2 linked regions of the Xenopus tropicalis genome follow. The protein of the gene in region 1 interacts with the protein of each later gene in a pairwise test. Links are inferred from orthologs where the notes say so. Each region holds a gene or a part of one and is shown on either strand. Other genes may lie near its edges.

Region 1 (3,657 bases):
GAATACATAACCAATGACCTATTAAAGAATCTTACCAAACTGGAATATATATATCAGTAAATATTGCCCTTTTACATCCCTTCCCTTGAGCCGCCATTTAGTGATGGGCTCTGTGCCTAGCATGTACTGTATGTGTGCTATGGCTTGTTTGTGTGCACTGCAGGCGGCCCTTAATTTTTAAGGCAATTTTAATGCCAATTTTTTATTTAGGATTACCCGATAGCACATACTACAATCCATTTCATTTCAAGCAACTTTCCAATATATATTTAATTACAAGTTCCAGTGCTTTATTACATGTGCATGTAAATTTCTGTTCTTTGTACAAGTCCCATTGACTTCTATAGAAACTGGCAAGCTTTTAAATGGTGAATTTGTACATTCAAGTTTTTGGGTTTTTAAATAGCAGACATTCCTGAAACAGAATTCCAATGTAAGTTTTTTTTTTAGTGCAAAAAAAACTTGAATCGCGAGAAAAATCAAACTCACACTTTAATAAATCTCCCCCTTACATTTGCAAAGCATTTTTCACACACAAGGTAGCAATGACAAGAAAATATTATACCCCATTTTTAAAATTGAGGTATGCCTGCCACTTGCTATACAATGCAACTGGGGGACCAAGGCATCACATATTGCTTGGACATCTGTATCTAATATTGCTGCGACCACTGTGCTGTGTGATGGATTACTGGGCCAATTCTAAGGTTAATGCCACATGGGGTGGATTTCAGCACCAAAATGCATACTCATGATAGGGCTGATGTGAGTGAAGGGGCTTATTCTCAGCGTGCATTGATACACAGACCGAGAATCAGCCCTGTGTGGCATTAGCCTTACAGAACTATTATATGTTGGGTGGTGCTGATGCTTTGTTTCTGGGAGTATTTAAATTTACTTTGCAAGCCGGAAAAGCAGGCATGAAACTTAATGCTGAAAGTCATGCGTGGATTCAACAGTGGTGCTCTGTTCTGGCCTCGGATTGCCCTTTAAAATGGGATGTGTTTAATACTGCCCGGCATGATACAAAAGTTTGATGCCCATATTAATAGGTGGAAAAATAACAGGTATAGAAAGGCTGGTATTATTCTCTAGAAATGGTGGCAATAAAAGTTGGGTGTAACTTTAAAAAGCATGGCATGGTCACAATTAGCTGCATTCTCCTGGGCATCCATGTCCTGAGATACAGCCAAGGAGCTAGTTTCACTTAATACGCCCCTGCTGCCAGGACGCCTTTGTGGTTGTGATGTCATAGTTTCAAAAATATCTAGGGTAGCAACTGCATTTTTGCCCCAAATCTCACTCTGCCAGTTTGGCTGGGATTCTGACTAGTGTTTGAGCTATGCCGTACATATTGTAAACTGACTTAGTATCTGTGTAGTTTTGATTTGTAATGGTTTGTACTCCCTCTCACTCAATTTTTAGCAGCATTTAAGGTCGTAACTAATGAGCTTTCTATTGTGACATTTATATTCTATATACAAAGTATATTATGTGTTGGTCCCTAAGCTCAGTAAGTGACAGCGGCACAGAGCATGTGCAGGGAATCAGCAGAAAAGAAGATGGGGGGGCTACTGGGGCATCTTCGGAGGCACAGATCTTCCCTGCTAAAGGGCTGGGGTTGCCTTGGGCTGGTACAGAAGCCCAAAACATAATGTACAACATTTATACCCTACTTTTTAGTTAAGCTTTTGTTCTCCCTTTCCCTGATGGAATGGAGTATTTACAATTGTTTGTAGGGGTAGGCAAGACAAGCCACGTTACTAGAAAGCTTGATGTCTCTTTACCTAAAGAGAGCACAATTCTATCATATTTGACTGCAAATATTTCCTTATAATGGGCAATACAACTTTAGGAGGTTAAATTGTAGGCTTATTAGACATCACAATGTTTTGGCACTTCCTTTCTCAGCTTGTGGCAGCCAGCAAGGGATATTTCTTGGTGTGGGTTTAGCACTACATATCTGCAGAACAAGCCCTCAACAAGTGCACTGGTGGTGACATGAAGGACCTGTGTAATACAAAAGATGTGCAACTGCATTTGACTGACCTTGTGTATTTGTCTTTCTTTTTCTTACAGCAATGGCTACAGCAAAGAGAAATCCAGTAACTGAGCTAAAGGAAGAACTGACGTGCCCTATTTGCCTGGATCACTTTAGTGAACCTGTTTCTATTGAATGTGGGCACAGTTTTTGCCGAGCCTGCATTACCCGTACCTGGAGAGGAATTCACAGCAACTTTGAATGTCCCCAGTGCAGAAACATATCCAGATGGAAATTTTTACGGCCTAATCGTCTTGTGGAGAATATGGTGGAAATAACTGGACGACTTGCTGCTACCAAAATGTCTCCAGTTAGTAAGAAGCAATGTGAAAAGCACCAGGAACCAATGAAACTCTTTTGTCAAGTGGATGCAAAGGAAATTTGTTTGGTGTGCCGAGAGTCAGTGGAACATAGGACCCATACTGTGATACCAGTGGAGGAGTCAACTAGAGAGTTTAAGGTGACAAAACAATAACAATTTGTGTTTTAGAGCCCAACGTTTGCTGCAAAGATTGTGGTACAGATATTACTGTTTGTGATAGGTCAGTTTTTCATAATCATTGGAATAACTAGATGTTCTTACCATAGCAGTCTGGCTGTAATTTAATCTGATTTAAGCCTGAATTGGAGCCTGATCAGAAAGATCAGTAAGATTAACAATAATAATGCTAAAAATATGCCCTTTAGAATGAATCTTTCTGGTTGCCAGGCTTCACCGATCCCAGCTAACAAATAGTGTTATATACAAAGTTTTCTACAGCAGATAAAAGCAAAACTGGTGTGTGTATTCTCGTCTGCCACAGTTATAATGTATGGCTCGCTAAATATATATACTTACTCTTCTGCTACTCAGATGATCACACTGATTGAGTTCATTTTGGACAATATTTAATACTAGTAAATGAAGCCTCTGATTGCTTCTTGTGCCCAGTGCCTTGATATAACACTAACTGAAGGAAATATGATTGTATTTAGGTTCAGCTCAGAGATCGCCTTCACACATTAAGAAGAGAATGTGCAGCTATCTTGGAAACAAAGTCTGAAGACAAGCAAAAAGTTGAAAAACTTAAGGTAGCTTTGTGAGACACTTGAATATATTCCTTGGAAAAAGTTCATTCATATGGTTGGGAATACCCCTGAACTGTCTAATGCAGTGATCCCCAACCAGGGGTTTTTGAGCAACATCTTGCTCACCACCCCCTCTGATGTTGGTCCCAGAGGCCTCAAAGTAGGTGCCCGTTTTTAAATTTCTGGCTTGGATGCAAGTTTTGGAAGCACAGAGACACAAGGTTACTCCTGTTTAGCCTTCTGCAGTCCACAGTTAGGTCCATAAATATTTGGACAGAGACAACTTTTTTCTAATTTTGGTTCTGTACATTACCACAATGAATTGTAAATGAAACAACTCAGATACAGTTGAAGTGCAGACTTTCATCTTTAATTCGGTGGGGTAAACAGTGGGGATTTTAACACGATCCCTTAATTTCAAGGGCTCAAAATTAATTGGACAATTGACCCAAAGGCTATTTCATGGGCAGGTGTTGGCAAGTCCGTTGTTATGTCATTATCAATTAAGCAGATAAAAGGCCTGGAGTTGATTTGAGGTGTGGTGCTTG
Region 2 (3,657 bases), on another chromosome or scaffold:
GACACTTCAGAAAATCGCATAAAACTGTTGCAATTTACCACATTTATCTCACACAATTACAGAGCCCTGACAGCGTATTATGTGCCGTAACACCCCCTAACTATAGAGAGACCCATAGAAAACCATATACTGTATATACTCGAGTATAAGCCTAGTTTTTCAGCACCCAAAATGTGCTGAAAAAAAGTCACCCTCGGCTTATACTCGGGTGCCATGGGTCCCTCTAGACTAGCACCCTCTCTCCTTTGTGTGCAAATTAGGCCACCCGCAACCAGACCCTCCAGTGTCCTGGCCTAGGCTCCCACTAGCAATACTTATTTCCCCTTACATCTCCTCTGGGACCGGGTCTGCTGCCAGTTTGCCAATGTGCAATGAGCGTGGGGTAGTACTCATATTGTTTTTGTTGACCCTCTTCTCCGCTTACAGAGCTAGTTTACTGTTTTTCTTTGAAATAAATATTGAAAAACATATACCCCACTGATGCCTCAATTAATGTAATTTTATTGGTATTTATTTTGATTATTAAAACTTAGCAGTAGCTGCTGCATTTCCCACCCTAGGCTTATACTCGAGTCAATAAGTTTTTCCAGTTTTCTTAGGTAAAATTAGGTACCTCGGCTTATATTCGGATCGGCTTATACTCGAGTATATACGGTATTTTTTGAAATTACACATTCTGATGAGTTCAAAATAGGTAGTTATTTTTCTACACCAAAGTTACACATGGCAAAGCTATGCTAAAAACAGATCAGGAACACTAATACAGGGATAAAAAAAAATGCAATAAAACCACAAAAATTGTGCAAATTAGTGAAACAACAAAATAAGTCACAACAGCGTAATTAGTGGTCAGAATATCTGATCCAATAGTCACGCTGTCAAAATAAACAGTAGGGAAAAGAAAAAAAAAAAAAAAGTAAAATGAAAAAAAATAAAAAGGCAAAGGTGCAGTTTTATAAGCCTTAGTTTCACCACCTCCCCCTAGAATTATAGCCAATAATTTTCCCTTTAACCTCTTCCTTCTCACCTGTTGTTGTATCCTTGGACTGCACCTTGGTCCGCCCCTGCAACGATTCCATTCTCGCCATTGCAGCAGAAGCCGCTGCTATCTGTGCCTCCCCTGTGGGAGGTTTACGTGGTTTAACTTGTTCTTTTGTAACTTTAGCCACATTTTCCCTGCAGGAAGAATTTTTTGAAAAATGTATTATCCATATTCTTTGTGCACGCTAGGCAAAGGTAGCACAATTGTCCCCCTTATTTCCTACCTGTTTATGGCATGTTATAAAGCTCATTATCTAAATATAACTTCAAAGCTTTCCTTCCCCACAAAAAATGTTTTACAGAGTCATTTAAAACAATCTTTTTTTTGTCTGCATGTCTTATAAACATCTACAAGTCTTATAAACATCTACAAGTATAAATGGATCAAGCAGCAGAACTAATTTTTCATAATCTGTCTATTTAAAATGGTAGTTTTACTTTGTATCAACTTTTGAGATGTTATAGAATGTCTGATTCTTAGTAACTTTTCAATTGTTCTCAATTTTTTTTTCTTTTTAAACTGGTTAACTTTTAGTATGATATTGCGAGTGCTATTTTGAGACAGTTTGCTATTGCTTTTCATTTTTTATTTGCAGTTTTTGAATTATTTAGCTTTTTGTTTAATAGCTCTCCAGGCAGTGGTTTAAAAGAGAGACAGAAATACAAATAGAGGAGGACCTAAATAGAAAGATAAGTGTTAGAAAGTAACAATAACAATTAAATTGTAGCCTCACAGACCAATAGTTTTAGAAGAGTAAGGCAAGTAATGTAATAAATTGAAAATTGAAAAGTTGGTAAGAATATGGCATTCTGTAGCATACTTAAAGTTGACCTGAAGGTGAATTACACCTTTATTTGTCTTTTTCTGCCTCTTTCCTGCATTCATATTTAACATGGGTCACTATTTCATCTTTATTATTATTTCTCTATTCATGCCCTCTCCGGTGGCTAGTTGTGACAAATATGTAATATTAAAGGAGGGTAAAAATCACTGGAGGGTGCCAAATGTTAGGCACCCCCCAGTGACTTTAATCGCTTTCCTTTTACCCCAGGCTGGTGCTCCTGTTAGGAGAAAACCACACCAGCCCGGGGTACCTGCAGTGTGTGTTTCCTCTTCCTTTTCACTCTACTGCGCATATGCAAGCGTGGAAAGGCAGGAAAGTAAGAGGGGACACTAGCTCACAGCTTCCCCAGGCTGGTGCAGTTTTCTTCTCACAGGAGCACCAGCCCAGAGTAAAAGGTAAGCGATTAAAGTCACTGGGAGGTGCCTAACATTTTGGCACCACCAAGTGACTTAGCCTTTCTTTCTCCTTTAAGTATATATGTACTGTATATAAGTTTTTTAAATTGACTGACATCTTGGCTGGATGACCAGCAAAAAACACACAACACAAAAGATTCCTATAAATCATGTATTGTGAAAAAAATGTCATGTGAAGATAGACATGACATCAACAGCCTGGACAATCCACTTCAAACATGAAAACAATACTACAAAACATCACAAACATTGTTCAAAAAAAGAATCACAGTATATCAACAATATAATACCATATATTCCATTCATCCATATTTTGGATCTACCTCACTTAATTTAAGTTACAAAACACATAGGAAGTGTTTACTTTCAGATAAATTAATATATTGTAAGTGAGGAACATACTGTAAGTATTTGAACACTCTGCGATTTTGCAAGTTCTCCCACTTAGAAATCATGGAGGGGTTTGAAATTCACATTGTAGGTGCATTCCCACTGTGAGAGACAGCATTTAAAAAAAAATTCAGGAAATCACATTGTATGATTTTTAAAGGAGAAGGAAAGGCTAAGTCACTTGGGGGTGCCAAAATGTTAGGCACCCCCAAGTGACTTAAATTGCCTACCTTTTACCCCGGGCTGGTGCCCCTGTTCTGAGAGAATAGCATCAACCCGGGGTAGCTGCGAGCGCTTCTTGCTTCACTCGTGCGCATGCGCAGTAAAGTGAAAAAGCTATAAAGTCGGCTTTTCACTCTACTGCACATGTGATTGTCCTGGGAATTTGCGCGCATGCGCAGTAAAGTGAAAAAGCTATAAAGTCGGCTTTGCACTCTACTGCACATGTGATTGTCCTGGGAATTTGCCGGCAGCGCGAATACGGAAGGAGGAAGCACTCGCTACAGGTACCCCGGGCTGGTAAAATTTTCTCCTAACAGGGGCACCAGCCCGGGGTACAAGGTAAGCGATTAAAGTCACTTGGGGGTGCCTAACATTTTGGCACCCCCAAGTGACTTAGCCTTTCCTTGTCCTTTAAAGAATGTATTTGTATTGCACTTCTGCACATAAGTATTTGAACACCTGAGAAAATCAGTGTTAATATTTGGTACAGAAGCCTTTGTTTGCAATTACAAAGGTCAAACGTTTCCTGTAGTTCTTGACCAGGCTTGCACACACTGCAACAGGGACTTTGGCCCACTCCTCCACACAGATCTCCTCTAGATCTGTCAGGTTTCGGGCCTGTCGCTGAGCAACACAGAGTTTGAGCTCCCTCCAAAGATTTTCTATTGGATTTAGGTCTGGAGATTGGCTAGGCCACTCCAGAAACTTGATATGCCTCTTACGGAGCCACACCTTGGTTACCC

The links. The genes of interacting proteins can lie anywhere in the genome.
Region 2: the proteins of E3 ubiquitin-protein ligase TRIM39 (region 1) and ubxn6 interact in binary tests that used the Homo sapiens proteins (3 or more experiments, as listed by UniProt). The link is inferred for Xenopus tropicalis from reciprocal best matches to the Homo sapiens genes TRIM39 and UBXN6.

The regions. Positions count from the first base shown.
Region 1 is NC_030678.2:143,275,890-143,279,546, forward strand, and holds part of E3 ubiquitin-protein ligase TRIM39, read left to right. Parts: intron 1-2,079; coding exon 2,080-2,501; intron 2,502-3,016; coding exon 3,017-3,112; intron 3,113-3,657.
Region 2 is NC_030677.2:93,773,750-93,777,406, reverse strand, and holds part of ubxn6 (UBX domain-containing protein 6), read right to left. Parts: intron 1,177-3,657; coding exon 1,028-1,176; intron 1-1,027. UniProt on the Homo sapiens protein: May negatively regulate the ATPase activity of VCP, an ATP-driven segregase that associates with different cofactors to control a wide variety of cellular processes.